Linked DNA regions of Pelodiscus sinensis. Each later gene encodes a partner of the first gene's protein in a complex. Links are inferred from orthologs where the notes say so. Each region holds a gene or a part of one and is shown in the gene's direction. Other genes may lie near its edges.

Region 1 (10,208 bases):
ATGATATAGTTGCATGCTAGGATCTGTACATTTGTATTTCTTCTAGGGATGTTAAATATCGGTTAATTGAATAGTCGATTCAGCTCATGAATTCTTATCAGTTACTCGACTATTCTATAGTCCCCGGGGGTGCGGCAGGGACACTCCGGCTCCACTCCCAAGGAGCCGCCTGCCACTCCTCTGTATCAGAGACAGCGGCATGGGGAGCCAGGCAGGAGCTGGTCCACGAGGGGAGCCAGTTTAAAAACCAGCTCCCCTCGCGGACCGGCTGCCTGTCGCCCCGCACTGCTGCCTCGGATACAGAGGCAGCAGCACCTGTTCAGGGTGGGGGCTGAGCTCCTGGACCCAGCATGAGCTGGAACTGAGCTGGGCTGTCTGCCTGCCTGGCTCCTAATACACTAGGTCCTGGACCCGGTGTGAGCCAGGACTGATCCGGGCTGCGGACCAGCCTGCTAAAAAATTTACTGGCACGGGTGGGTGGGAATGCGTGTAGTCTATAGCATTAACCTATAAGCTTTTACTTATTGGTTAATCAGGTAATCAACTACACTATTACATCCCTAATTTATTCATGCCATATATATGCAAATAACATAATTTGTTTTCTTTCGGCTGACAGAAATTTCTCTATTGTATGAGTAACTGAAATATACGAACACCAAGAAATTGACGTGGGCCCCAGTGCTGGATGGATCAGTATTAACTAGTGTTACAGTAGGTGACAGCCTTAGAATGTTACCCCTAGTCCTTAGTTCAAGAGGTTGCTTTTCTCGCCTTTGCCCTGCAAACTGAAGCTGAGCGACAGAGAGAGCCAAAGACTGGCCAATGGCATTTTCCAGCAATAAAATAGCAAATGACGTCAGTCTCTCATCAGCCATCGTGGATTGAAAATATGTTTTTATGAGCCTGAGCTTCGAAAAGCTCATATTCATGGGAGCAGCCTCCTCAAAGCCCTCCAGGCATTGTTCTTAACATAAGAACAGCCAGAGTGGGTCAGACCAAAGGTCCATCTAGCCCAGTCTCCTGCCTGCCAACAGTGGCCAATGCCAGATGCCCCAGAGGGAGGGAATAGAACAGGGAATCATCAACTGATCCCACCTGTCATCCATTCCCAGCCTCCGACAAACAGAGGCTAGGGACACCATTCCTTCCCATCCTGGCTAATAGACATTGATGGACCTAACCTCCATTAATTTATCTAGTTCTTTTTTGAACCCTGTTAGAATCCTGGCCTTCACAACATCCTCTGGCAGGGAGTTCCACAGGTTGACTGTGTGTTGTGTGAAGAAAAATTTCCTCTTGTTTGTTTTAAACTTGCTACCTGTTAATGTCATTCGGTGACCCCTTCAGCTCTGTGTCATGGATGAATGGGAGAGCTTGGCATGCAGAGTGCTTTCCATGTGGCAAAATGTGACAGATGTTGTCCAATTCAACAGAAAGGTCTTTAGCATTGATGGCCGAACGTTCCCCATGTGTCTGGTGAAGGTCCACACAATTGTTCAAGAGATTTTCCTGTCCGCTGGCAGCTTACTACGGTCACACAACCATCCTCCCTCTTCCCCTACAGTCTTTTGATGGTGCTTCATTTGTCCAAATGTTTCTTTGATGGCTAATCAAGCAGTGTCTATGAGCAGGGCTCAACAAACTATTGAATCTACTCGCCCGTGGCGAGTAGATTTCAGCCCGGCGCCCCGTTTACCGGTGGCGTGCACATGCACAATGCAGCTCTTGCACATGCGCAGTGCGGGGTTGGCGAGTGGCTTTCGCTGCCGTTTGTCAAGCCCTGTTTATGAGTGAGCAATAAAACTCCCTCTTGAATTTTCTTCCAAGCTTCCCATCACCTCATCTCTGCCCTCCTAACCAAACTTCTTCCGATTAATATGAATTTCCTTGAAGATGGGCTTAAATCCTCAGTTTCCCCACATTTCTTTAGCTGCAGTGTTGATAGTATCTTCAAGTCTGTTGTCTCTGTAGGCAACAATGAAATCATAAGAGAAGATAAGAATGGCCAGAGTGAGTCAGACCAAAGGTCCATCTAGCCCAGTATCCTGTCTGCTGACAGAGGCCAATGCCAGATGCCCCAGAGGGAGGGATCACAACAGGTAATCCTCATGTGATTCCTCTCCTGTCATCCATTTCTAAACAAATAGAAGCTAGGGACACCATTCCTACCCATTCTGGCTAATAGCCACTGATGGACCTAACCTCCATGAATCTATCTAGCATTTTTTTGAACCCTGTTAAAGATCTAGCCTTCACCACATCCTCTGGCAAGGAGTTCCACAGGTTGACTGTGCGCTGAGTGAAGAAAAACTTCCTTTTGTTTGTTTTAAACCTGCTGCCTATGAATTTCATTTGGTGACCCCTGGTTCTTATATTGTAGGAATAAGTATATAACTTTTCCTTGTTCACTTTTTCCACACCGGTCATGATTTTATAGACCTCTGTCTAGATTTTTTTTGAACCCTGGTCTTCTCTGGCAATCAAGGCAGCTTCTCCTCAACGTAGTAGCAGTCGCGATGTCCATTCACCGAGTCTGTCATGCCTTGTGTGTAACGTGTACTTGGAACAGGAGAACATGCCAAACCACAGCTGAGACCAGAAATTTGAAGCCAGGGATCTGCTTTGCCAGGCTTTGTGCCTCGTCTTGGATTCTGGCCTTGGCTTTACTTGGCTGCGCCAGTTCACGAGGGCGTCATAAACCTCAGTCGCTTGGTTCCCGCCGGCCTTGATGCTGCTCTCCCAGTGTGTGTCACTTAGTGGCAGAGGTGAAAAGTGGCTGGTGCAGGATGGTTCGGCGCACTAAGACCCGGCCACCATACAGGTCTGTGTACGGCTGATACTAAACGCCGCTGGCAGAGGGGGGCTGCCTCAGGGGCCAGCAGTTTATTAGGGCCTGGGTCCTTCAGATTGCCATCAAGAGTCCCAGGGCTCCAGGCTGCGGACACAGCAGCCATGAAGGACTAGTTGGGGCAGTCTGCCCCCTGCCTCACTCCTTCTGGCTGAGGCCAGGTCCCTTCTGGGGGCCCAGAGCTGCTGGCCAAGGACACCCGAAGCAGTACAGGACACACCGGTATGTCCCAGCATCCACCGTCACCCCTGCCTAGTGGTGTCACAGTCCAATTTGTAACATTGCCTTTTTTCCACCTGATTGCGGATGCCAAAAACAGGGCGTACCTCCTTTGCAGCAGTCCGAAAAGAGCCTGATTCTAAAGACGACGATGCTGCGTCTGACACATCTAGGGCGAGGGGATGGCAGTCACAGCTGTTTCTGTCATCACACGAGGTCGATTCTTCCTAACCGTTTCTCTCCTGTTCACATAAGCCAGGTTATATTTTGCCACGACTCCCCTTTTCATATTCTCCTGTATCACCACGCTCCTTCGTACCGCCAAGAAACCTGGACGATTCTCCATCGCTTTCCTCACATTTTCCTTCCTTCTCTTCAAGTACATCTTCTAATTTTATAGTCATAGGACTCCCCTCATTTATATGTCACTCCTCGATTTCTCTGCACTCGGACAACCCCAACAGCCGAAAGTAAGCCCAGTCTGTGTCGTCCTGTTTCTGCTATTTTCCCATCAGATTTGCCCCTTGCTGAAAACTAGATTGCAACTGTGCTTTTTGCTTCCTTCTCTTCCGGGGAATCTTTTATTTTCTTCAGTGGAAAACAGCCAGTGTTAGGGAGAGCAAAAGTCCTTGTCCTCCAGCCTTAGTAAGTCATCAAACATTACATGATAAGCCTGGCAAAGGAAATAACAGTCTTTCTTTTATATTGTAGCATAGGAAAAATATCTATTGAACCCTTATCTTTCTCATTCAATCTGTCCTTTATCTGGTGCTAATTACACTCTTCACATCTTAAAACACAATTACACAGTAAATCGGGGGTGGGGAACCTTTTTTGGGTCGGCAGCCACTGTCCCACAGAAAAACCAGTCGGGGCCCACACAAAAGTGAGAAGCAAAAAAAAAAAAAAAAGTCACTGATGTGAGAAGCAGAAAGACACTCCCCATGTTACCAGAGCATGGGGGGGAGGGGCTGAGCCAGTAGATTTTGTGGGGTCCTCTAGCCTCTAGGGTGGGGCCAGAAAATGAGGAGTGCAGTATGTGGGAGGAGGCTGCTGGGAAACAGGTTTGGAGTGTGGACCCTGGGCGGGAGGGAGGGCCTCGAGGGCCGGATCCAGGCAAGCCGGGGGCCGAATCCGGCCCCTGGGCCATATGTTCCCCATCCTTGATCACAATATGGCACCTGGGCTTTCACTTCATTCTTATATCTCCCTGACTGACAGGTGACGGGCCGCCCCTGAAATACCTGCAAGGGCCTGGCTGACACGTTCTTGGAAGTTTGAGGAAAATGTGGTTCTCGGAAAGTCTGGAAGGTTCCACACGATTCTACAAAGGGCCGGAACATTCTAGGAGTTTAACGAAAAAAGAATCCACTCACAAATGCCTGGAACATTTTACTTCCAAGATTCTGTTCTCTTTTGTCTAAAACCAGCCCTCCGAGCCTGGTGCCCCCCACGGCCGGCACCCCAGGCAGCAGCCTGCCCCGAAATCTGGCCCAGGTTCTGAGCACGGGGCAGTGACAACACCTGCCTGGCTCTCCCTACTCACGTCCCTGAGCACTGGAGAGTTACCACCTCAGCAGAATAACGCGCAGCCAAGTGAGGGAAGACGTGACCAATGGGGACTCAGATGGGTTAATTCTCCTGTTTCCTTGCCGCATCAGCGTTTTAGAGGGCGCTTCCTTGGTGTGGGGGTGGCTGGATCAGGAGTCTCCGCCAGCAGGAACGGCCTCCCCGAGTGCGCTGCAGAACAGACAGCTGAGGAAGGAGCCCTGGACAGCAGGTGGTTCTGTGTTGCTCATAGGAACGCATGCCAAAGCGCGGGGGTGGGGGACCTAAGGCCCAGGGGCTGGATGCAGCCCCCAGCTTGCTTGAATCCAGCCCCTGAGGCTTAAGGCTCCACCCTAGCATTGGGGAGCTGGTGCTCCCCCCCCCCGCTCTCTGGGTTTTGAGGGGAAAGTGGGGAGGGTCTTTCTCCTTCTCAGTCGGGGGCCACGACAGTGAGGGTTTGGTTTGGGTTTTTTTGCTTCTCACTTGTGTGCAGCCCCCGACTGATTTTTCTGTGGGTCAGCGGCCCTGGTCGTGGTCGAGGTCCCCCCCCGACCCGCTAGCAGGACAGAGCAGTGGGCCTCTCTAAGAATAGCAACCACATTTAACCTCCCGAGATCTCAAAGCGCTTTGTGAAGGGGGTCAGCAGCACAAGCCCATTGGGCAGATGGGGAAACGGAGGTCCAGAGAGAGGCAAGGGTTCGGCAAAGCAGCAGTGCCAGGAACAGAACCCTGAGCCCCCTCAGTCTACCCCCACTTTAAGCCAGGCTCCTGCCTTTCCCAAAGCAACATGGACAGGACAGAAGGACTTGGGCATTAGTTGGGCACCCTGGGCTAACACCTTCCCATGACGTGGGTCTGTCTTTGAGCTGCAGGCAGGAGGCACCTGGCCCACAGGGCTCATTAGCCCGCAGTCTCCCCAGGGGTCTTAATGCCCTCGTGCTCCTAGCCCAGCCTGGGTCTATCTGCAAGGAGGGTTGTTTCTTTGGGGCTTTCTCCGCGCCCCCCCCCCTCCGGAGCCCACTTGGGGCTGCACAATGGAGGAGCTGGTTTGGGCAGGAGGACTCCTCCTGTGGCCACCACAACCCGCTCCAGAGGCCCCAGGGCAGCGCGGCTCGGAGCGGGGCACAGAGGCCAGGCGGCTTGGTCGCCCCGCCTTGTTATTGTAGGGTCGCTCCCGCAGCGAGGGGGGCTCCGCGCTGTCCCAGCCTCTCCAACACCTCCTGGTGGCGGGGCGCTCCGGGGGCTGCTCCCCGGGCTGCGCAGGCCAGGCGGCTGCGGGACCCCGCTCTCCAGCGCTGGGGGCGGGCCGGGGGCGGTGCCGGGCGGGCGGAGCTCGGCTCCGGGCTGGCGCCGCACGCACCGCGGCTCCCGTCCCAGTCCGGCTGCGCCCCCCAGGTGCGAAGCGGCGCGGGGAGCCCCTCACCCCCCCCCCCCATGCTGATGCTCCACGTGGCCGGGCCCCCCGCGGCCGCAGCCATGTCCCAGCCCGAGGTGGATCTGTCCGGCTGCGGCATCGCCCTGGAACCGGGGACCCCCGGCCGGGCAGCCCCGCTCCGCAGCCGGGGGCGCAGGCTGGCGGGCCGCGAGAGCCGCCGCGGCTCCTACAAGTTCAGCCGGCGGAGCTCGGCCGAGCTGGAGCGGCGGGGGCCGGGCCCGGAGGACGCGCGGGGGGACCCCCGGGCTCGCCAAGGCGCGGAGCCCGCGGCGCGCTCCGGCAGCGAGACGCCCTCGCCGCCCCCCGGCCGGGGCTCCCCGCGCGGCGCCTCCCCGGACGAGAGCCGCCGGGCGCAGGACGAGAACGAGGAGATCGAGACCCGCGCCGTGGCCACCTCCCCGGACGGCCGCTTCCTCAAGTTCGACATCGAGATCGGCCGCGGCTCCTTCAAGACCGTCTACAAGGGGCTGGACACCGAGACCACCGTGGAGGTGGCCTGGTGCGAGCTGCAGGTGGGTGGCCGGGGGCGTGGCGGGGAGCAATGCGGGGGTGGGAGCTATTGACCCAAACTGTGACCCCCCCCCATGCGGGAGACCACCCCTCGATCCCGCACCTGTGCCCGCAGGTGGGCTGGGGCAGTGATCCCTTGGCTGCACAGCCTCTAAGAGGCAGGCGCATCCCAGTCTCTTGCCCCCTGGTGCGGCACCTCCAGCCAAGCTGCCCCACACGACCCCCCAGGTTCCCAGATCCGGGGGGCTCTGCTTCGGGTTAACCCCACACTGCCTGGGAACAGGGCAGCCCTCCGCTTCCCTTGGAGGGTGGATCGAGGAGGAGGGCTGCAGGGGAGTCCCCACAGTGCCGGGTGCTGGATGACTGGGCCGGTCGGCGTGGGGAGGAATTGGGCCTGTGCAGATGGGACAGAGCTTGGCCAGTCAGATGGGTCTGGCTCCCTACTTTGGCTTTGCCCCGGGGGTTGGCAGGGCTGGGGCAGGCCGTGGGGCTGGGCCAGCTTTCCTGCAGGAGGCCAGGTCCGTGGCTCCTTTCACCAGAGGGACTGGAGAAAGGTGGGGGGGGGGGTGTGACTGGCAAGCGCCCCCTTGATGGGCCTGGGACTGAGCCGTGGGTCAGATGGGGCTCTCCTGCCCCCCCCCCCCAAAGCTGAGTTCAAGACATGCCCCCACCTGGCATCTGAGAGGCAGTGTGTGGCGCTTCCCCTGCCCCCTCTGTTGGCTTCAGCCTCTTATTCCTTGGGCCTCCCCTACCCGCTCCTGCTGCTGCCTCCCACTGAAGCAGGAGGCATAGAGCCACGTGGGTTCAGTTCTGTTATCGCTGGCTCCTGCGGCCCCAGGTCCTCCCCTCCCATGCTTGTGGCCTCCTGTGGCTGGCACGCCGGACCTGTGCAGCGCAGGGTGGTGTCTGTTACGTAGGCGCCTGAGCTGGCAGCTGCCGCCACAGATACTGAATTACTCTAATTCACGGCTATTCCCAGCGGTGCCATTTCTGCAGATGGACTGCAGCAGCCAGGCAACGCCGGCCCTTTCCTGCTCCCTGGCCTGGCTCAGATCCACAAGTGCCATGCGCAGGCAGCTCGGGTGTGTGGTAGTTCTGCCGTGGTGGGCCCTGGTGGGAACGGCTCCCAGCTTCGTGCGGCTCTGGGCTCCCCACGTCCACCGTAGCCTCGCATCCCTTGGTGATGGCAGCGAGCCAGCCCCGCCCCTGCCGATCCCTGCCCCAAGGAGCTGCAAGCTGCGTATGGGGCCTTGGGTGCCAGGGGTGCAGGTGAAGTGCCAAGCAGTCTTCTGCACCGGCTGCCCGCCCAGCAGAGGGGCTGCTTCAGATGCCAGCCGTGCCCCCATTGCCACTTTGTGGGCAGCTGGTTCCTTCAGTTTCTGGTTTAGGGCACCGCTGGCACGTGTTCAAGGAGCTTTTGAAGTGTAGAGAAGGGCCACGGCACCAGCCACGCCCTCCCCTCCCCCTTTGGGGCCACGGCACCAGCCACGCCCTCCCCTCCCCCTTTGGGGCCACAGCGCCAGCCACGCCCTCCCCTCCCCTCCCTTCGGGGCCACGGCGCCAGCCCTCCCTCCCCCTTCGGGGCCACGGCACCAGCCACGCCCTCCCCTCCCCCTTCGGGGCCACGGCGCCAGCCCTCCCCTCCCTTCGGGGCCACGGCGCCAGCCCTCCCCCTCCATTGGGGCCACAGCGCCAGCCCCCCTTTGGGACTCCAGGGCTCCTGACCGTAGGCTAGGAGTGCCTGTGGGTTAATCAACAGATATTTGTTGGTCGGGACGTATGGGCTGTGGGGGGTTGCGTGACGCTGACAGAAACCGTGGTGCCCTCCAGGGCTGGATGCAGGAGCTGTTTTACCGCCCCCGGACCTGGCGCTGTCTGCTCTCCTCTCAGCTCTCCCACCCCTTCCTCCTCCGCTGCCCCCCTCCCTTTGCTGGGGTTAGAGAGGGGGGTGTAGACACTGGGGCGCTTGTGCTGAGTGTGTGGGGGGGGCGGTTTCTCTAGCCCCCTTCCTCCTTCCTGCTGCAGGGCTGGATGGGAGTTCTCCCGCTCTGGGCTTCGGCTGCCGTCCAACCTCTCTGACCACCGTCTTGTCCTTGGGGCGGCTGGCGCAGCCGCGAGTTCCAAGTCCTTGTTGACACAGAAAAACGTGTCTTGCGAGTTTGTCTCCTGCCCCGCAAAGCTGCGCGGGGTGTCGCCGGGCGCGCCGGGGCCTGCGTCTCCTGGTGGGAGGAGGGACTCCTGCAAGGCAGTGGGTGGCTCTGTGAGGAAGGGGCAGCCCCTGTGTGCCTGCCCCTGGGGGCGACCCACCAAGCCCCTGGGTATTCGTGGGGGGCCACGTCCTTTGCCCGAAGCTCATAGTCACGCTGTCGGTGCTCTGCCCCACTGGGCATGACTTTCCCCGGGTGTGTAATTTTTGTGCGTCTCGGAGGGTTGTCGTGTGCTGCGTCCTGTGTTTGGGCCTTGCTAGGCAAGTACGCCCCTGGCCTGCTTGCCGCCTTTGTAGCCTGGGGGCATCCGGGCACCCTCTGTAGCCCCAGGCTGGTTCTCGATCCTGCTCTGGTGTCTCAGCTCCAAGCGGAGTTGCCAGCCTCTCTCCACACCCCACAGGCCACGTCAGAGGGGCGCCTGTCAGGCCAAGGGCACGTGCCGTGGGCCAGGCTGGATCTGAGGTACCCGCAGACGTCCTGCAGCTCGCGTGGGGTAGGGGCTGTTGGTGTCCTAGCCTGTCAGGCAGCATTTGGCATGGCCAGGCCAGCTGTCATGGGCATGGTGCAGACGGCGGGCTGGCATGCTTGTAATAGGAGGCTGCTTGGCATTTTGGGGGCCCATGGAGCACAACAGCCCCCACCCAGCACGGACAGTCATTGAGCAGTCTAGCCGTGTCACCCATTCCCAGCTTCTGTGCCAGTCCTGGCTCCCTACTCCAGCTCTGCTGGTGTCCCTCCCTACCGAGAGCTCTGCCAGTGCCCCTCCTTCCTGATCTGCCCCCCAGAATGCTCTGCCAGTGCCCCCCAGTCCTGATCTGCCCCCCGAGAACTCTGCCAGTGCTCCCCAGTCCTGATCTGCCCCCCGAGAACTCTGCCAGTGCTCCCCAGTCCTGATCTGCCCCCGCTGAGAACTGTCAGTGCCCCCAGTCCTGACCCACAGCCCCCCTGGTACTTCCCCCCACCCCACCCCCAGCCCGAGAGCTCATTCATCATCTCTTGTCCCAAGCCCTCCAAGCCTCACGGAGCCATGGAGCATGTGAGGAGACTTAACAAGCCTGTTTTTGAGCCCTAATCCTGCCGAGACACAGCCGCTGTGGTACAAATATAGGAGCTTGTCCCACAAATGAAAGTGGCTGTGGTTGGGCCCGGGCAGAAATAGCTTTGTCCTGCATTTGTCTCACAGTCGCCGTTTATTGCCTGTCGAATATAAGTGGTCATTTTACCTCAGCCCTGAGCTCCTCGTGCAGCAGCGCTGCTGGTGCCCTGAGGCCTGGCCCGGAGCCAGGTATCCCACCTCGGGCTGCCCGCCTTTGCCCAGCGCTGCTGGTGCCCTGAGGCCTGGCCCGGAGCCAGGTATCCCACCTCGGGCTGCCCGCCTTCGCCCAGCGCTGCTGGTGCCCTGAGGCCTGGCCCAGAGCCAGGTATCCCACCTCGGGCT
Region 2 (10,698 bases), on another chromosome or scaffold:
CCACCGCTGACTCACATAAGCACATGTAAATCAGTTTTCAAAGGAGGCCACTTAGGCATAGAGTAGGGAATTGAGTGCTGTTTTGGATGCTGTTACAAAAAGGAGAGCTTTCAAAATTGAGGGTTAGTGTTGGAGAAGTTCTAGCCTCTCTGTCTGAATCTGCATGATCTGATGCTTGATGAGTACTCAGGTTCAGGGATTTACAAAAGGCAGCTATCTCCGGAGGCTAGAATACTCAGTGTCTGGTGGGCTAGTCTGTTGCTAGACGTCCTGAACTCCTCACGAACTCCAACACTCAGCAAATAAATACACACAGTATTAGTCTTTTTAAGTTCCGTTGAACACTTGTAAAGTATGCCATAATTCAGGATTCTTTGCTTAGATCATTTTAAATGTTATAGAAATCTTCTCTCTTAACCATAGATGTTATGCACCAGTTTTGAGACATAGCTAGCTTTGTGGGAACAGATTAAACACACATAGACTACTAAGGAGTATTGTGCCAGCCAGAATGATCATGGCTGAGAATATTGCTCCTAGTGTCATGTAGTACAGTTTCCAGATCTGGCTCACTCCTGCAAATCCTTGAATCTGTGGGACTGCTCCAAAGGTATCAGCAGATAGGCTCCAGTAAAGAACCCCTTCGTACATCAATGGAGAGTTTGAGGACACAGTGTGTTGGAGTGTGTTAGTCCATCCTGGTGACATGGCTGAGGGGCATGCAATAACACTTTTGCTCAGTGAGCAATTGGAGGAAGGCCAGATCTTTGACATTTTGTACAAAGTCACATCATTTTATGTTGAGGATTTGGTGCTAACAATGCATATCAAATACCTTTAGGTGCTTCAAGTCTGCTTGAAGAGGGTCCAGGTTTCTGACCCATATTGCAATATTGGTTTTATAGATCCTGAACTTTGTCTCAGTGCAAACACACTGTTGCATTCATAAGTGAGACGGACTTCATGCCAGAATGGTAAGACCTATTTGTTAAAGACTGTCTGGTTTGCTGTGACCATTTGAACTCTGCAAGAAATGTAAATAAATAATTTTCTCCACAATACTCAACACCACCTTCACTGAGGGTTTTGGTGGTCTGGCTCCAAGATTCTGCACCTTTTTCTTCCACCATAAGATGTTCAATGCCATCTTGAAAACCTTGGAGAGTGGGGCTAGAATTCTCTGATTTGTGCTTGAGCAAGACACTGACCAAAATTGTGCTGAGGACACTCAACTCTTCTTGACCTGAATTGATTCTAAAGTTATGGAGAAGCCAGTATTATTTTTCAGTTGACAGCCTGACCCAATAGTACCCGACAGATGTGCAGCAGGGATACATTACAGTGGTGTAGAAACACGGTGAAAGACATGAATTAAGTGCCTATTTTTGCATCAATATAGATGCAAAGATTAGTGAATCAGTTAATAGAACATTTGGAACACCAACTCCTTTCAGTGCAAACCGAAATGCTGACCCTGTCAACTGAATCAAAACGCAACATGAAGGAGACTGTTAAATTTGTGATGCTGCTCAGCCACAGACCACAAAGTAAGGCCAGAATGTATCAATGATTGCCCTGCAATGAAACCTGACTGCTATGTATGATGATCTATGGCCGTGGTCCCCAACACGGTGCCCGCGGGCGCCATGGCGCCCGCGGGGGCATTTCAATGCGCCCGCCAGGTGCTCGGGGCTGGCCTGGCCCCGGGCACATGGCGCACGGGCGCTTGCGGGGAGAGCGCGCTTGGCGGGTGGAGCGCCGGTCGCGCGGCACTCGGCGGGAGGCGGCGGGGGGGAGCGCCGGCCCCGGGCGCGCAGCACTCGGCGGGAGGGAGGGGGAGCGCTGGCTGAGGGCGCTCGGCACTTGGCGGAGGGGAGGGGGAGCGCCGGCCCCGGGCGCTCGGCGGGGGAAAGGGGGAGCGCCGGCCCCGGGCGCGCGGCCCTTGGAGGGGGCCCTGCCCCCGGGCGCGCAGCTATGGGGGGGCCCCGCCCCCGGGCGCGCGGCTAGGTGGGGCCCCGCCCCCGGGCGCGTGGATGGGGGGGCGCCCCCGGGCCCCGCCCCCTGGCGCCCGGCGGGCAAACGGCCATGCCCCCTGGCGCCCGACAACCTAAAAAGGTTGGGGACCACTGATCTATGGTAAGGAGTGACTGCATCCTATCAAGCAGAATGTGAGCAAAGACCTTTCCAGGGACCAGTAATGAGATTAGCCTGTAGTTGCCACGCTCAGTGCAAAATTCCTTGCCCTTGTACAGGGACACTATGATTCTGTCTTTTGAGTCTATTGAACTTTGCCTCGTGTTAACACTTTTTAAGAACAGTTTATGGAAGCTGGGGCTCCCCAGTTCCAAGGCACTTTTGAGCAGCTGCCGTGGAATACCATGAGGTCCACGAGCATGTCTAGTGTGTAACTCTTGGATGGCCTTAACTATTTCCTTGATTTACCAAAGCTCAATATTTGTCCCTGGATCTACACCTGTGAGGCTTATCAGGTCATATAGCTCTCTAGACAGTCATCAGCAAGTCTGAGCTTCAGCATGCTTTAATGTGTTTTCCATCTGTTTAACACCTCCTCCATTGATGAGCAGGCAAAGCCATCTGGTTCCATAATAGGGATGTTAGAAGGCTGTTTATGGCTGCCAGCCAGGTGTGTTGATGGCTCAGTAGGCAGGATGTATTTGTTGTTCTTTAGGCTGTCCTCTGCTTTGGTGGCCAGGGAATTGATGTTAATCTCAGTTTCATTTTGTCCTGGTCCAGAAAATGACTTCAGCAGTTTATATTCTTAGATATCTGTCTGCTTATGTGTGTCTATCTTTTAAAATAATATAACAAAGGCCTCTTCATGAAGCTAAGGGGTCTTGGTTAATCATTTGAAGCTGATTGTTCCAGAAGTGGAATATGATAGTATTTTGTACACTATTCCACATGCTCCCCACATTTTCCATGAGGGTTATATGTGATTATACTGAGGTTATATGTGATTAATTATGATTTATGTTTATTTCATGGCTTCAAAAAGGTCCTCAAAGATTCTGGACATTTTACTGGTAGTGAACATCAGGATTGAAAGAAGATACGGGGAAAGCTGTGAAAGTCTGAGGCCTCAGTTTGCAGATGCCTCTGGACCACTAAAGCCAGGTAGTGTTGTTCTTTGGGAACCCAAGCCAAAGGAACCTACTGCAGGTCTCTGGGTTTCATACCGAGTTCAACTGCATCCAGTCATAGCATTAAAATCTCCAAGTACTAACCGTTTGTCATGCTGCAGAGTTAATGGAATTTTGCAAGTAACTGGTGATAAAATGAGTTCTTTTCCACAGTTGGCACATGTAGAAACAACAAAAGTGCCCACAATGATGTTGGAGCCAAGCATGGAGTCAGCCTATAGTAGGCCTGGGCAAAATTTGGCCCGTGGGCCATATCCAGCCCCCTAAACCACCAGATCTGGACCGTGGATGCTGTGCGGAGCCCCAGGTAGGCTCCCTGCTTGCCTCGCCCCAACCACACACTGCTCAAACATGATTGTGGGGCAGTTTCACCTTAAAAACTGAGCCCGGATGGAGGGGTGAAAGCTTCAGGAGCTGCTCCCTACCCCAACACTATCCCAGTGGCCAGCTTCCTGCCAGAAACTGGCCAATGCATTTTTCCTGTTTCAATAACAGGCAGCCACCAAGCACAAGGAACTCATAGTTATTCACAGAGCACATGGCTGCAGCCTCTGCAGGGGTGGGGCAGGCAGGGAGGCTCCTTCAGGAATAGGCTGCTGGCTGGTAAGTCTCTTGGCCAGAGCCTGCTGCTGGCACTGCAGTCCCACCCTTCCCCAACCCGCTGCTCCCTCCTCCACATACCCAAATCCTCTGTCCCCCTCCTATACCTATACTCCCTCCCAGATCTAGCATCCCAATCCCCTGACCCAGATCAGTCCCCTCCTGCCCTAGTTCACAATCCAACTCCTTACACCCCAGTCCAGAGCCCCACGTCACAACTGCCTCCTCCACCCTAACTCCCTCCCTTACCAAGCTCACTTCTGCACCTAACCTCCATCACAGACCCTGCTCCTCTTCCATTTAATAACATGGAAGAGTGCGTCGTTTGACCACTTTCCAAATTCTTGGAGGGGCCCCATCAAAAATTATTGCTCACTGGTGGCTGAGAGAATAGTGATTTCATGTTGCCAGTCAGTACAAGAGTTATCTAACAAGTACCATACCTCGAGTTTAGTATGGATGGCAGATTGTTCTTTACATAACAATATGTAGTAGTGGATAAGCTACTGTCTTCAGGATGTGGTCATCCATATCCACATAAGCTTCAGGTCTGACTGTACCTGATAAAGGCTCCTGTTCCGATTAATGAGTGAATTCCGACAACTGCTCATGTAAATGAGCAGGGCTCGACAAATCATTGAATCGACTCACCCGTGGCGAGTAGATATTAGCCGGTCGCCCCGTTCACCAGCGGTGCGCGCATGCGCAGTGCGGGTCTTGCACATGCGCACTGCGGGTTTGGTGAGCGGATTTTGCAGCTGTTTGTCAAGCCCTGTAAATGAGGACCATGTTCTCTAATGGTTATGAAGGTGGATGAGCTCCAACTGTGGATATATGGAACACAGACTAAAGAGAGTCATCTGCATTTTCAGGAACCAACAACATCTATCAAAAGTTACTGGGAAGGCGGTGGTATTTCCCAAAATAAAACATTTCTGTTTCTCCCTACATTCAACCGGCTTGACAATAACAACAGTACCAGGGGACAGGGGTGAGCTCTGCATGTGAGGACAGGTATGACCCAACTCCTGTCTGTGGAAAGTGCTGCCTTAATGATCCTAACTTCCTAGGAGACCATACCAGACCTTTATGTCATGTTCTAATAGTGAACAGCACTAGGTACAAGACAGCTTTTCTTAAAAAAAAAAAAAATCCATTGGAAGATCATAATCGCCTGTATCACAGAGGTCCATCTGCCACAAAGCAATGTAGATTTTAGAATGGAGTGAGCAAAAAATCAAGAGAATGTAAACTCAGTCACAGTCCTAATTGAGGGAGGCCTGCTATTGACCCATAAATTAGTAAAGCTCATAGATTCCAAGGCCAGAAGGGACCCTTGTAATCATCTAGTTCTCTGGTGTCCAACCACTTCTGCAATACTGTAGTGATCTAGCCACGCTCAACCTGCCAAATAGCCACATGGCTAGTGTGTTAGACACCACAGATTTAGTCTGACCTAGGCCTAGAGCTGCCCCAAAATGTTTTCCTTCTAAAAGAGAAATTAATCTCATCTTCGCTTAGAAATGGTCAGTGACTCCGCTCTGTCCCATACTACACAGATCCACCCAGAATATTTACACCTCACTGTCAGTCCGAAAATATCAGTTCAGTTTCAACGACAAGACAGGGGCATGTGTGCCATTTGTCTCTACTAGAGCCCATTGTTTTACACGGGTTCCCATGCAGGTGATGGATTGAGCTGCACTCACTGTTCCAGGGAGCCACGTTTCCCAAGCCTTTAAGCCAGGGCTACTGAACATGTAACCCGCGGGCTAAATGCAGCCCATGAGTGGGAGCTAAAACAAAAAAAGGAATCAATATAATGGTCTTCTCTGGATATGTTTTAATAGTTAAAATTCCTGAACTGTGATTGGTCATTAAAAGTGCTGTCCTATGGGTGGAAATTGGGTAAATGTTGCATTTTAGTAATAACATCAGATGTGACTTAATGGGGCCTGCGTGTTGCAGTCTTGCCTTAATCTTTGTATTCGTGCCCATCAGTGTGAAAGAAGCTATTTGCATATCTAGTTGCATGCACAAAACCGCACTCAAGCTGTGACCATCTTGGCCCCCAGGGCAGCCAAAGCTGAGTCGCCCTTCGCAGCCCCTGCTGGGGGGGGCAGGGACGGCTCTACAGCTGGAGGCGCCGATACGACGCGGGGGCAGCAGCGGGAAGGGCTTGGGCAGGCCGAGGCCCGCGCGCCAGGCTCACCGGCATCGTGCCTTGACTCCCGCCTCGTCCGTCCCCGCAGGACACCCGGGGCCGCGCCCAGGCAGCGGTGGGGGCGGGGTGGGCTGCACAACGGCCGCGCCCCAGCAAAGCCTCGCGCCCCGAGCGCGGGCGGGGACACCCCAGGGGAGAGCGCGAGGCCGGCGGGTGGGCGTCCCGCTCACTTCGAGGCTGCGTGCTGACGTTGCGCCGTCCCCGCCCGCGTGGCTGGAACCCGGAAGTGGGCTGAGCCAGGGGCGGCCGGCGACAGGGGCAGCGCAGCCCGGCTCCGGCAGGCGGATGGATGGGCGGCGATAGCGGAGCCCCGCGCGCGGAGAGGCGCAGGCGGCGCGGGCTGTCCCGGCGCGCGCGGCTGGAATGCTGCTGCTGCTGGCGGCGGCGTGCGGTGCCTGCGTCCTGAGGAGGGAGCCTGCGCCGAGCCGCGATGGAGATGCTGCTGCCGCCGGTGTGAGTGCGGCGGGCGGGGAGGCGAGAGGGGCTTCGGGGGTGTCCCGGGCGCGCCCGGCTGGTGACGCGGGGAATCCCCGCCAGCGTCTCCTCCGGCCTCCGGGCTGGGGAGCTGCCCCTTCCCCGCGTCCGGGTCTCCAGTAGCTCCTGCCCGGGGGAGGCGGCAGCTGTGGCTCGGGATCCCCCTCCTAGTGCTCTGACACCGCGGCGCCTGGAGCGTCCTTTGCTCAGGCTTGTTCCCCTCCTTCCTCTCGCTCCTGGCCTGTGTCAGCGCGACGCTAGCCGGGGAGTTCCCTGCGCCGCTGCCCGGGACCGGGCAGAATGCGCGTCTCCCACCTGCAGGTTGGCTCTGGGTCCCATCCGCCCTGGTGGCGTTAGGACACGTGAAAGCCTGGCTCAGTTAAAGCCCTCCCTGTTTCATCGTGTTACTTGCTAGCCCGTTCCCCGCCCGGGATTGAACTCGAAGCAGGAGCATCCAACAGGTAAAACGGAGTAGTTGGCTTGGTTCGGCAGGATTTTAAGAATACTTCTTGCTTTGCACCAGTACTGCAAGGGCTTCTGGAGGGTGGTGGGGGTGGACTGCCTTATTGTACCCTATACAGCGCTAAGCATGATAGTATCTCATAAATAGCTCTTAAGGGCTGTCAGAAGTAGGGGCAGGTGAATGAGGGGAAGTCACAAAAAGTGAGCAAGATTAAAAATGGTCAGCAGAAAACATGGTAAAATGCATGTCTGTCTCCCAAGACCAGGAGAGAAAATGCTAAGGAGTGCCATTAAAATCTGTTCTCAAGGATGGGAATAGCACCCTCACTAAGGAAGCTTTCAAGGCGAATCTGTAACCACCCTGTTAGGTCTCTCTCATCTTGACTGAGATTCTCTCATTTTTGCATTGCCAGTAGATATTTTTATAGCATCTGTTTGATGAAAAATGTTTATGGTGTGCAATTCAATGAAACATTTAAAGTACCACCCACACTCAGTGGAAATCTGCTTGCTGGTTTTGTGTATGCATACATATATAGGTACACCTGTTAAAGCATGTACTGAGATGTATCACTACATTAAGAGATTTCTGGGGTGTTCAAAGCATGTGGATGTAGTGGTTTTTTTTTAAAAAACAGGGTTGCTAAGCAATAAGCAGTTACACAGGTAGGCATAATTTCTGCTTCTCTTTATTTTACAAAAGGTTACCAATTCCATAGTCCCCTACTTCCTCAGATTTGAAGTACAATGAGTATTCTAGTGCTTGAGACATAGTAGTATGCATAGATGTGTAACTCCTTTCCTGCCCATAGTAATTGCGACCTCCTTTTCCTCCCTAGTGCAGCAATACTTTTGTAACTAACAGCCACATGTTTTCTTTGTACTGCAGATAAGCAACACGTTATTTCGGTGCATTCACTCTTTGTTCCCAGGTTTTGGAGTGTATTACCTTACCCATATTTCTCTCTAATACCCAGGATATTTGTTATTTAGGCAGTTGACCAAAAACTTGCTACAGGCACCTACTTTTCACACTAGTGCGCATAAATGGGAAAGTATACCACCTAGTCTTACTTTCTCTTCTATCTTATGGTAAAATTGTGCTTTCCCAAGATTCCCTCTAAAAAGAAGCCTGTCTGTAATAAATCTTGCAGCCTGTGCTAATTGTAGGAGCTGGAATTTTGGAGGAGTTAGCGGAAGATTGAGGATAGAAAGATTAATCATAATGGGGTGGTGTGTCTGGGATGGTGAAGTGAATATACTTATGAAAACTCTGCTCAGTATACATGGCAGCACTTTGTGCTCTTCAAGATCTGACAGGTCAGGGCTTTTGACACATGAAGTTAGAAAAGACAACTGGGTCTTATCTGTTTGCTTATAACCAATAAATATGTTGCATGCCTAGACACAGATCTAGATTCCCATTTTTATACCAATTCAGGCATTGGATGATGTAAGAGATCCTGCCTTATATTGTTTTCCCCTACATAATCACCATGTTAGTTGTAATCTGACATTCCAGTGAAGTTATATATTGTCCTTGAATGTTTAATCTTTAGCTACTCCATCAGAGCCCAAGTGTAGCTATTATAGTCTTGGAATTTCAGGAGGAACAAGAATCATCCAAGTTAAAGGAGGAGGGTTATGTGAATATTATAAGCACAGTACAGGTAGTTTGAGTTTGATCATTCCTCTGATTCAGAAAACCACATTATTTTTGCTCTGTTTCATCAGTCATGATAATCAGGACAGCTGGAAGTGTTGAAGAGTCAAACCACATGCGTCCACCATGCGTAGGGTCAGGTTCACACTGGTTACATATGTTGTGGTTTAATATTAATGTATCATACCTTCTTCATAACAGTCTTCATATAGTTTCAGATGCCACAAATATGGGGCAACTCGAGACAACGAAAATAGAGTTAGTTAGGAGCTATAACTATACAAACTCAAAGTAATTTAAAGTGTATAAAATAGTCCCTCAAATAGGATGCATATTAAGGTGGGCTTTTTAATTCATTGCAGGCTTTATAATGTCATAGCCAATTTAGGACGTTCCTGTTTTGTAACCTAAAATCTGGTAGTTTCACCATTCATATGTAATTGGCCCCTTCACCATTATACAGTAATTCCTCATTTAACACATGCCCGCTTAACACGTTTTCACGATAGCACGATTTTTTTTTTTTAGGAAATGTTTTTTGAATTACACGACCGTCCCCAGAATAACATGATTTCCCATTGCTGGCGGCTCCTTCTCCCTGCAAAGTGGCGGAGGGTTCGCCGCTAGCTGCACCATTCCCTGCTGACTCCCCATAGCTGGACACCTTGCCCCCTCTCCTCCGCCCCTGCCTGCAAGCCCCCCCCTCACTGGACACAGTGTGGGTCCCGGAAGACCTATCACAGGGGTATACTCCCAACCCAATCCCTCTCCCCTCTTCTCCCCTTCCCTTCCCCAGAGCCAAACACCTTCCCTCCCTGCTATAACCCAGTCTTTCTCCCCCAACCTTATGTCCCGGTCCCAACAGACACCACCACTTGAAACGCAATCCCCACCTTTTCCATTATTTTCAGTGGGAAAATTGACTTGCATAACACGTTTTCACTTAACACAATCATTTTCTGAAACATGTATAGTGTTAAATGAGCAATTACTGTAACTGGAACCCCCTCAAAGAGAGTAGTCAGCTCATTTTACTTGTTTGCTTTTATTTCTGAATGATGATCCATATATACAGCACATAAAGTGGAAGATTAAAGTTTACTCTAAAAGAAATTACGGATGTCAGTGTGTAGAGAACTACTTGATTAACTAATAAGCCTGGATTTATTGGTTAATCTTGTTGACTACATGCCTCCCCCCTTTGCTGCCTCGGGGGGTGGGGGGCCATAAGCAGGAGCCGGTTCCTCTGATGGAGAGGCAGTAGTGCGGAGGATAAGGAGGTGCAGGGGAGAGCCAGCTCCATGGACCCACCTGTCCCCCCTTGCTGCAGGGGAAGGGAAGAACAGGCAGAAGCCAGTTCTTGGAGAAGCAAGCTTAAAAGCTGGTTCCCACAGCACCAGCCCCATGGTGCCACCTGCCCCCCCCCTCCCTGTGCTGCTGCCTCTATCTATGTAAGGAAGAAATAGGAATATAAGGACAACCATACTGGGTCAGACCAAAGGTCCATCTAGCTCAATATCCTGTTTTCCCACAGTGGCCAATGCCAGATGCCCCAGAAGTAGTGAACAGAACAGGGAATCTTCAAGCACTCCCTCTCTTGTCACCAATTCCCACCTCTGACAGAGGCTAGGTACACCATTGTACCCATCCTGGTTAATAGCCATTGATGGAGCTAGCCTTCATGAATTTAACTAGATCTTTCCTGAACGCTGTTAATTTCCTGGTCTTCCCAGCCTCTTCTGGCAAGGCATTCTACAGGTTGACTGTGTGCTGTATGAAGAAAATCTTCCTTTAGTTTGTTTTAAACCTGCTACCTATTAATTTCATTTGGTGAACCCTACTTCTTGGCTACATCTACACTGGCACCCTTTTCCGGAAATGCTTAAAACGGAACAGTTTTCCATTATAAGTATTTCCGGAAAAAGCGCATCTACATTGGCAGGATGCTTTTCCGGAAAAGCATCCGTGGCCAATGTAGACGCGCTTTTCCGCAAAAAAGCCCCGATCGTCATTTTCGCTATTGGGGCTTTTTTGTGGAAAAGACTACTGTGCTGTCTACACTGGCCCTTTTCCGGAACAGTTTTTCCGGAAAAGGACTTTTGCCTGAACGGGAG
Region 3 (10,297 bases), on another chromosome or scaffold:
GCCATGGCCACGCAATCCCAGGCTGGCTTGGATACCAGAGGAGCCACAACTGTGGCCACGCCATCCCAGGCTGGCCTGGATGCCAGAGGAGCCACTGCTGCAGCCATGCGGTCCCGAGCCGGCCCTGGACACCTGAAGAGTTGCTGCCTCAGCCCCAGCGCTACCTCCTTCCTGCTGGAATCATAGAATCATAGAACTGGAAGGAACCTCGAGAGGTCATTGAGTCCAGCCCCCCGCCCTCAAGGCAGGACCAAGCTCCGTCTACACCATCCCTGACAGATGTCTATCTAACCTGTTCTTAAATATCTCCAGAGAGGGAGATTCCACCACCTCCCTTGGCAATTTATTCCAATATTTGACCACCCTGACAGTTAGGAATTTTTTCCTAATGTCCAATCTAAACCTCCCCTGCTGCACTTTAAGCCCATTACTCCTTGTCCTGTCCTCAGAAACCAAGAGGAACAAATTTTCTCCTTCCTCCTTGTGACACCCTTTTAGATATTTGAAAACCGCTATCATGTCCCCCCTTAATCTTCTTTTTTCCAAACTAAACAAGCCCAGTTCATGAAGCCTGGCTTCATAGGTCATGTTCTCTAAACCTTTAATCATTCTTGGATACCAGAGGAGCCACGACTGTGGAAAGGGGGGGGGGGCGATGAGCTCCCGCTAAGTGCCACTTACAACAAACGTGCCATATGTTGCCAACCCCCGGCTTAGAGCATCTTCATTAAAGCACTACGATGACATTGATGCATCTCTCAGGAGCCGGGGGGCGGGGACTTTGGGGAATGGAATGGACAGGCAACCCTTTCCCTTCATTCACCAGGACTTCCTTGCTGTAATGTGCAACTGCTCCAGCCAGGGATGCATTGCGGGCTGGGAGTCTGAGACCCCTGCAATAGACACACTGGTTTTACGTTTCATTACAACAGTCTGTAGCCCCCTAACATTCGTTCATCCTATGCTTGCAGAAGTGTTAATTGCCCACTTGAATGGCTTTGTGGGACAGCTGTTAACTCCTGGTGATGCTTAACAATATGATTCACCTTGTATTTAGCTGTGACACTGATTCTTCTTCCAGTGCTTGCTCCTGTCCAGTCCATGTCAGGTGTATGTGTTTGCCACATGCATCAGTGCTGGAAGTTTTTCCTTCAGCAGTACCCAGAGAGGAGTGGTGCTAGCATGGCACAGTATTAGGGATGCCGCTCGCCCTACCCTGAGTTCCTTCTTGATGCCGGTTATGATGCATGGTAGAAGGTTGCTGCTTCAGTGTTGCTTAGCCTTTGTTCAGAGAGACTTTGTAAAGTTGCTGTAAATGGTTTTAGTGTTAGTACCTTGGGGTCATTAGTGTGTTAGTCCGATCTGGGACTTAGCGGGAGGAGGGGGCATGCTTGACAAGAGGGTGAGTCTCCTCACCGACAACATGGCCTTGATGTTCTACATCCACACTCAACAGAGAGCGTGTTCGTCGGGTCTATGCCAAGGGGCTCTCCAGCTTCAGGATTTCTGCATCAGCCATGATATCCATCTGGAAGCAGGTTACCTCCCAGGAATGTTAGGAGTGCTCTAAAGGATCACCTCAGCAGGGATTTCTCCTCTCACCACAAGTGGTCACTTCACCCAGAAGTCACTCGCATTCACTCCCAGGGGTGGGGAATTCCCCAAGTGGACCTGTTGGCAACCAGGCATAATGGAAAGTGCCACTGGTTTTGATCCCAGCAGGGCTTGGGAAAGGACTCGCTCTCTGATGCCTTCCTCCTGTCATGAGCTGAGGATCTGATGAAGATCCTCCCACCAAGGCATGGGTTATTGTGATCACCCCATTGCAGCCTCACCAGCACTGGTATGGCTCATTAATATGCAAATGGGCCCTCCCTGACTTCTTCCCTACCATCTGGACCGTGGTTGACTCCTACAGCCCAGACTTGAATATCTGCACCTTTTGGTGTGAATGCCCCATGATTGAGCCTGGAGGAGTGTACCTGCTCAGAAGAGGTCCTGCAGGTCCTTTTGGGAAGCAGGAGGCCATCTATGAGACTGACTGACTTGGCTAAGTGGATGATGGTCTCCTGTAGGGTGTTAGAATGTTCTCCAGAGCAGGCCTTCCTAGATTACTTGCTGCAGCTTGGGAACCAGGGTCTGGCACATTCTTCCCTCAGAGAACACCTTTTGGCTATCTCCATGTTCCACCAGCTGATTCAGGGACAGATGGTGTTCTCTCATGACATGATGGTCAGATTACTGAGGATCTCCAAGAACTCTACCCGCAGGTATAAAACCCTGTACCACTGTGGAACCTCAACCTGGTCCTCTCCAGACTCACTGGTCCACCTCATGAGCGGCTGGCTTCCTGTCCCTTTCCCACTTGTCTTGGAAGGGTGCATTTCTAGTGACTCTGATATTGGCGAGATGGGTTTTGGAACTGCCTTCCGCAGTTTTCCATAAAGACAAAGTCCAGCTACCACCCTATCGGCCTTTCTGCTAAAGGTGGTTTCTTCCTTCCACATGAACCAGGACATATTCCTGCCTGTGTTCTGCGCAAGCCTCACAAGACAGTGGAAGAGAGGCATCTACATGCCCTGGTCACCTGGAAGGCCTTGGGTTTTACCTAGAACATATTAAGCAAGTCAATGCTGCTGTTTGTCTCTACAGCTGATAGGATGAAGGGCCTTCTGGTTTTGTTGCAGAGGATTTCCAACTGCGTCCTCTCTTGCTCCTGCTACAAGCTGGCAAAGCTACCCCTGATTTTTTGGGCTCATTCAACCAGAGTGCGGGCATCACTGGCTGCCTTCCTGGCACATGTGCAATCCGCAATGACTGTAGAACCATACGTGGTCCTTGGTCCACACGTTCACATCTCTCACTATGCCATCACTCAGCAGGCTAGAGACAATGATGGGTTTGCCAGAGCTGTGTTACAATCAACGTGGCCAAGAACTTCTACCTACCTCCATAGGTGCTTTTTGGAGTCACCTAACATGGAATGGATAGCAAGCACTTGAAGATAAGACAGTTATCTGTTCTGTAACTTGTGTTCTTCGAGATGTTGCTCATGTCCACTTCACAATCTGCCCTCCTTCCCCACTGGCAGAGTTTCTGGCAAGAGGGAACTGAGGGTTGGGGAAGTGTATAGTGCCCCTTATACAGCACCAGGGAGGTGCCTCTCCAGGGGTCACTAGAGCTACTTCGTTACGGGTACTGCTGAAGGACATACTTCCGGCACCAATGCGTGTGGAATGTGAAATGGACATAAGTGACACATCTCAAAAAATACCAGTTACAGAACAGGCAGTTTGTCTTTTACATTCCTTGACCTGAGGAAGAGATCTGTGTAGCTCCAAAGTTTTAAGTCTCTTACAAGAGAAGATGGTCTAATATAATCATCACCCACCTTATGTCTCCAAAATTCATAGCTAGGATGTAATCTGTTATATTTAAATCTTAAATGTAAAGAGGAATGATCAGCATAAGTCACGGACCATTTTTAAATTAAAAATAAAGGGATGTTTCTGCATGCTACAGATTAGAAAAAAATGTATTTTTAAATATGTGGCTTTGTGAACTCGGGTTAGTGTAAAATATACAACTACCACTAGAGGGCAACAGTCATAGTTTAAAAAAAAAATTCCATAAAAAGATTCTTTTGCATCTCAGTCTGGGACAGCGTGTCTGATCTTTAAATGTTAGTTACTTTGTAGAAAAAATACTGGCCCGCTGAAAGGCTTTGACGAAGAGAATCTATCACAGAAGGCAAAAGCTTAAAGCAAAGGTATTCCAATGTTTCTACTGCCTATGCTTTCACTCGAAAACCATTAATTGCTTGATATGAAAAAATCCTTATCGGGGAGCCTGTCCTAAATCTTTCTCTAGAGTGTTTTGATGATTTGGAGCCTTATGATCTTGTCATTAATGTTTCAGATGTTTTGGTCATTGTTTTACTTTTGTCTTGGGAAAGGACAAAGATTAGCTACATTCTTGGAATTGTCACGTTTAAATAGTTTCTTTAGGTATCAAAGATGTACTAGGCTCCTCACAGAATGAATAAAGATATTGGACATAGCCTTGATTTTTGATGATGGTAGTACTGGGTGTTCAAACAGAAATACTTAGGCCTTATTTTCAGAAGACCTTAATACTCGTACTTCCTCTTGAAGTCAATGTGGACTACTGTGTGAGAGTGTCTCTGAAAACCAGGTCCAAGATGTTGCAAGTTGGGCACTTAAAAATGGAAGCATGGCATCCCATTTCAGCAGTTGCATTCAGCTGATGGTCCCTGTCCTGAAAAGTTTATGATCTCAGTTCAGCTCATCAGCTTTATTAGTGTGCTTATGTGTTTCTTTACAGATTGGGGTTATAGACTCCATTTTTTCTAATTTAAGAAAAGAAGTAGACAAGATTATTTGTCAAGATGCAGATTTGGGAGCATACACACACACACGCCAAGTAGGAAGATACCAGTTTTATGCACCAGTCCCAGTTTTACAATGAGCATTGTCAATTCTCCCGGAAAAATTCCACTCAACCTGAGTAACATTTTTGGTAGAGTAAAATACTAGCTTTTTCATGGCTATCAGCAGTTGCAGTAAAAGGCAAGCAAGCAGTTTTGTGCCTTAGGTAAACTATCATGAGCACTTCGCAAAGTGGCTGTAAAGAAACCTTGCCTCTGTCCACTGATTAGCTGTATTATTTGTCTCAGATTCAACACCCCATTGCTGTGAGAAACTATTCCCATTGGAAGGAATTCAAGATTCAGTATTAAATATATCTGTTTTAACAAAGCATTTAAACGGAGTTGTTGGATTAGTTCAGTTGTAGGTCCTTGGCTGGTTGAAGTGGGGTGTTCTGGTATGGGTCTTTGGCTGAAAGGCTAGTGTTTTGTTATGATAGCTGTTTGTTCAATAAATGTATGTTGCTCAGGGGATTGGCATTGGGCATCAATGGCAGGGCTTGCTCTTGCTTGTCTAGAAATCTGTTGGGAGTTTTGCCATTGACTTCCATGGGAACAGGTCTGGACCCTCAGTTTTTGAATAAATTATTTACTTTTAGTTTTTGCTCCTTGCCTAGAACTCTTATGCTTTCACTACATCAAGTATTTCTCAAAGTGGTCTGTGAAAATATACCATGGCTCCTCTTGGCTGCAAATGGCAAAACGGAGCCAATAGGAGCTGCGAGGCTCCATGGCCGTGACACCAGTAAGTAAACACACCGTAGTGGCCAGTTAACAGGTTTCTCAAAGTGGTTTCACAGACCACTTTGAGAAACACTGTACTACATGGTATACCAGATGCCATGAGTATATGATTGGGCACTTGGAATGTACACTAGGATCTTGGTGAGGATCTTCTCTCACAAAGAATATTGTCAAAAGAAATACATGGGAAACATCCTCAGTGTTCTGAATCTGGTGTGATAGTAAATACCCATGGGAACACTTTAACAAGGGTCTTGGTGGATTTACCATCACTCGTGATTTTTAAATAAAAATTGGACACTTTTCTAAAATCTTCTCTAGGAGTTATTTTGGGGAAGTTCTGTGGCCTGGGGTATATACAGGAGATCAGATTAGATGATCACAGTGATAGCTTCTGGCCTAGAAATCCGTGAATAACAGAGTCTCTCTTCAAGCAGGAATGTCACCGTGGGATGTCCTCCATGGATTTGCTCAGAGCAATTAATTTTAATGGTTTAATAGCCATTAGAATCAGATCCACTCTGTGATCTGTTCATGGGTTATCATTTACATTTGGGAGTATTTCAACTGTATGAATGACAGTTTACAAGATTTTCTTTTTCCTTCACTTTCCCTCCGGCACCAGTCCCCTCTTTCTCTGCTGTTTATACCGCTGGAGCCCTTGCTCCATTCATCTGAAGAAGTGGGCTGTGCCCACGAAAGCTCATGCTACCAGCTACGTTTTTTTTGTTAGTCTCTAAGGTGCTGCAGGACCATTTGTTGTTGTTGTTTTAAAGCCTTTGAAAAGGGCCAGCCACGGATTTGGGTGGGAAATGCAGGGAGTTGGGGGAGGAGGGAGATCCATTCTGTTTCACTGGCAATGCCTAGGGTAGGCCAAGGTCTCGGAGGTGAATTTGGGCCTTGCAGCAGCACGTAATGGAGGAAAGCATGGGCCCGTTTGAGAGACAGCAGCTCCCTGCTGAGTGAATGTGACAAGCCAGAAGTTCCCCCTCAATCCCCTGCTCCCCCTGGACAGATTCCCTGGCTGGCACTGGAGAGAGCGTGGGGAGGCCGTGTGCAAGCGGCAGCAGCTGGAGAGGTGTAAATGGCACCGCTTGCTGTTGCCAGGAGACAGCCCAGCAAGCTTGCAGGGGAGGAAGGCGGAGGGAGCGGGCTGCTGCAGCTCCGCTGCAGGGAGCTCTGGGTAAGGAGGCGCTGTGCGGCGGCTGCTGCGCGAGGGAGCCAGTGAGAGGCAGCAGCTCGGCGGTGGGGGGAGCCCGGGGCTCCGATTGCAGCCGTGCGGAGTGGCAGGCGCTGATTGATCTCGCCAGCGCGCTGCCGGCGAGCGGCCGCAGGATTGCGAGCGGGCTGGCGGGTGCATGCAGAGGGCAGGCTCCAGCCCGGCTGCGCACAATGGAGGAGGAAAGGTATGTGTGTGTGTGCGCGCGCCGGGCAGGGCAGGGCAGCCGCCTTTGTGCTTGCACGGGGGAGGGCAGGGCGTGCAAAGCGCCCTGCTGGTGGATCGCTGGGGGGTCACGCTAAGGGGGGGGTTGGCATCTCGTTGCAGGGGACACTAGCTTGGCGCTTATTTGTAAGTGCCACAGATCTGCTGCTCACGATTCTGTGTGTGTGGGGGGGGGGGGGGGGGGGTTAATTTTCAAAGCTCTCCCTAGTGAGGAAGGATTTTGCATTGTGTTTCACGGGGACAAGCATCACTCCTTACCCCTGGGCATTTTGTTACCACCATTCCCCCCCCCCCCCCCCCCGTACAAAGTGCCCCAGGTTAACTATCGCGGAGTGTGCTTTCAAAATTTCAAATCCCCATGTGGGCGCCTGAACGGGTGGACCTGGGAGCGGTGCGGTTCACAAGAATCTCTGCAGTCCCCGGGGAAGCACATTCTCGTGAGAGCTGCCTTTTCACCTGAAAAGCTTCTGGATAGTTGCATAAGCTTGTAAGATGTGGGACTTACAAGAACCAGCTCACTTAGCCAGTGGCACTCATTGGCATGCAAGGAAGGGCGATTAACTCAAGGACTGTGATTCTCATGTTCAGTGGTCCCTCCAAGCTTTTCCATCCGTGCACGGAGGCAGGTGTGAATGTGCAACATTAGTAGAAACAAAAATCCTAATCAGCTGGGGGGGAGGATTTGAATCCCCGAGTGTCTGCACGATCACAGGGAACACTGCTCATGTTCCTGTGAGAATTCTCCTTCCTTTTGGAGCATGTTAGCGTTCTGTTCTTGGAAGGCCTTTTTTTCTTAATCTCCAGCACAAATATCCCTTTTATCTTCCAATTACTAGACATTGCAATGTAAAAAATGAAGGTTACTTCACAGGACACAAACCCTCCTCAGAAGGGAAGGGAATTTAGATCCATGTGAAAACTGGCCAGACAGATTTTTTTTGTGTGTGCAAGATGTTCGAATGCATTTTGCCTGGTTGATGTAGGTATTTAAGGAATATGCAGAAGTGAGGTGTGGAAACTTAATGTGGGTTGATACAGTGCAGCCTACCAATACAATTTTAAACTATTAGTACTCAAATAAACAAATATAAAATGAGCTATAGCTTTGTGGGCAGAGCCCATTTCATCATATGAATGGAGTGAGAGGCAGCCCAGATACTCCAGTGAAATCTTGACTTGTACCCAGTGGCATCCATTTAGTGCTTCTTGTAGTTAACAAACACAAGTTTATGAATTTTGCAAGTGTACTGAATTTACACACCTCTTTATAAGCAGAAACCAGGGACTTGTGTTTTATGACAGGAAGAGGGAGACAGCAGCAGCTAAATAGCTGCTCATAGGGTATTTGGGCCATTAACTGTTTCCCATGCAGTTTTGGTTTTTGGCTGTGATATTGTCGGTGCTGTAGTTTTTCTAAGACTGTAAAGGCCCCCTGAACATAGTGCAAATAATGAGAAGTTGCATCTTGTGATTGTTGCATAGGAATGACCTAGAGAAGAGGGGGATATAAAAAGTTTACCACGTACGTGGTGTTCTTTGAGTTGCCCTGGCCCTGTGACTTTCTGAAGCCAGAAACTTACTCCCAAAAACTCCACTGAATGCTTCTTTTCCAAATTATTCTGGTGACCTTTGTGTTGGGGGAAAGTTTCTCACTGAATCATACTGGAAACCTGCTGCCTTTTGGGATCTGAGGAATACTTTGCTTTTCCAACATACTGTACTCAAATTGAAAACTACTGGCCTTACTTGAGGAAAGAGAATTCTGTTCATGTAACAAGGGGCAGAATTCTATCCTTGAGATCTGTGGTTCTCCAACACTTTGGCCTACAACCTACCCTGTTCAATGCAAATCTTTCAGCAGACCACCAGCCAACCACCCATGGTGTAGGAGGGGATGAGGAGTCTGGGTGGGAAGGATGTGCTGTTTGTATATTTAACGTTCAAAACAAAACTCTCAGCCTGTGATCTCGCTAGTGGTTAAATATATGAGAAACACAAGATCTAGAATAAGTGTAAAATGGCTAGCTGTGGAGGTTATTCATTAGTATATTTAAATCTGAGTTATTTTAGATAGTTGCCCATATAGTAGTGTGTGTCCAATTCTTGCAGTTTCTAAAGTGAACCTAATGCCTGAGAGTTGACAGGAGAAGATGAGGCAGAGTGGCCATTGTTAAAAATGTTCCCTCTATTTTTTTTCCCCCCTCCATGTGCAGAATAAATTTTGTTATATGTTCTGAGGCGTGTGCAGGTGTGCACCACCAATTTCAACACATGCTGCCTGCTCTGGGCGCTCTGCAAATCAGCTGGGCGGCTGCCCCTGTACTCACCTTACAGGGAACACTGATTAATCACTTCTAATATGGTAGTGTCCAAAAGTTCAAATACTGAACCTTCTGGGCACTGAATTTCTAGAGAGCCTTATAGTAGCCAGTTTACCTTATTTTTGGTTTAGACTGATTGAGACACTTTTATTCCTTAAGGACAATCTCCATATTAGAGATGTAAACGACTAGTTGTGTGACTACTTGCTGCTCCCCGCCCTGCTGCCTCTGTAGCAGAGGCAGTGGCAGGTGGGGAAGGGAAGCAGAAGCCAATGCTTGGGGGGACCTAGCTTTTTTGACGGTTCCCCCCCAGCACTATCTTCACGCTGCTGGGGAGGCAGAGTTGCAGCTGTCTCGGAGCTGGCACAAGCTGGGACTGCTCTGTCCCAGCTCGCACCACCCCTAGGAGCTAATCCTACGCCAGGGCTGCACTTTAAATGTAGTAAGTTAAGCGCCCCTCTTCGACTAATTGAATAGTTGATGGAATTTCAATCGACTACTCGATTAGCTAACGAACAGTTACTTAACATCCCTATTCCATATCCTATCGGTCTTTGAAAGTGAAGAATCGCACTGAATCTTCTGGGGGATTTTGGTGGTTCGAATAGAATTATCCAAAGTATGACTTTTACTTCTCATGGTGTACATATAAAGAGAGGCAAGGCTTTTCAGTGAACCAAGGCTGTAAGGACTTTGGATTTATGTCCCTCTGAAGAGACAGTTAAGATGTCAGGTTCTCACATTCAAGAAGGGCATGTCCTCTTGAACTCCACAAAAGCTACACTCTACACACTGAAAAGGGCTACTGAATACATTGGGTGGGTGGGTGGGGTTTTTTGTGTGTGGTGGTTTTGTTTTAATATTTGTACACTGGCTTAAATTTTTTTATGGGAACATTTTATAAACTTACATAATAGTTTAGGCCTCAAGTTTGACCTATTTTATCTTCTCTGGATTTCAATTTTTCTCTTCCACTTTGTCAATTTTTTAAAAAAAGTGCTTTATTATCCAGTCACTTCAAATGTAGGTCCTAACCCTGTAAACTCTTGTATTTTTGAGACACTTTTACTCATGTGAGCTGGTGAGTAGGACTACTACTTACATGTGTAAAGTTAATCATGTGCCTATATGTTTGCAGAGTTGATTTCGTCTAAGCCAATCTTGTGTGTGGCAATCTAAATTGCTTTCTTTGAACTCAGTTCTCTTTTTGTCAGTGCTGTATGGTCATTCTTTGACAAAATGACACAGCTGAATGGTCAGAAATGTGTGGTGTTTATCTCTGATGAAATTAAACATATTAAAAAAAGAATCTTACAGAAGAATTACTGAAAACCTAAATCT

The links.
Region 2: the proteins of WNK4 (region 1) and KLHL2 are in contact, whole or in part, in a crystal structure (PDB 4CHB), measured with the Homo sapiens proteins. The link is inferred for Pelodiscus sinensis from reciprocal best matches to the Homo sapiens genes WNK4 and KLHL2. Residues at the interface, in NP_115763.2 of Homo sapiens: Glu557, Pro558, Glu559, Glu560, Pro561, Glu562, Ala563, Asp564, Gln565; in NP_009177.3 of Homo sapiens: Arg345, Phe361, Gly363, Ser364, Leu365, Arg366, Thr392, Phe408, Gly410, Ser411, Thr412, Gly413, Ser438, Ser439, Tyr455, Ser487, His504, Arg534, Tyr583.
Region 3: the proteins of WNK4 (region 1) and KLHL3 are in contact, whole or in part, in a crystal structure (PDB 4CH9), measured with the Homo sapiens proteins. The link is inferred for Pelodiscus sinensis from reciprocal best matches to the Homo sapiens genes WNK4 and KLHL3. Residues at the interface, in NP_115763.2 of Homo sapiens: Glu557, Pro558, Glu559, Glu560, Pro561, Glu562, Ala563, Asp564, Gln565; in NP_059111.2 of Homo sapiens: Arg339, Phe355, Gly357, Ser358, Leu359, Arg360, Thr386, Phe402, Gly404, Gly407, Ser432, Tyr449, Gly451, Ser481, His498, Arg528, Tyr577.

Annotation. Positions count from the first base shown.
Region 1 is NC_134739.1:8,657,290-8,667,497, reverse strand, and holds the start of WNK4 (serine/threonine-protein kinase WNK4), read left to right. Parts: upstream 1-5,596; 5' UTR 5,597-6,052; coding exon 6,053-6,565; intron 6,566-10,208. UniProt on the Homo sapiens protein: Serine/threonine-protein kinase component of the WNK4-SPAK/OSR1 kinase cascade, which acts as a key regulator of ion transport in the distal nephron and blood pressure.
Region 2 is NC_134715.1:63,199,475-63,210,172, forward strand, and holds the start of KLHL2 (kelch-like protein 2), read left to right. Parts: upstream 1-6,275; 5' UTR 6,276-6,415; coding exon 6,416-6,438; intron 6,439-10,698. UniProt on the Homo sapiens protein: Substrate-specific adapter of a BCR (BTB-CUL3-RBX1) E3 ubiquitin ligase complex that mediates the ubiquitination of target proteins, such as NPTXR, WNK1, WNK3 and WNK4, leading most often to their proteasomal degradation.
Region 3 is NC_134727.1:31,918,696-31,928,992, reverse strand, and holds the start of KLHL3 (kelch-like protein 3), read left to right. Parts: upstream 1-6,363; 5' UTR 6,364-6,583; coding exon 6,584-6,597; intron 6,598-10,297. UniProt on the Homo sapiens protein: Substrate-specific adapter of a BCR (BTB-CUL3-RBX1) E3 ubiquitin ligase complex that acts as a regulator of ion transport in the distal nephron.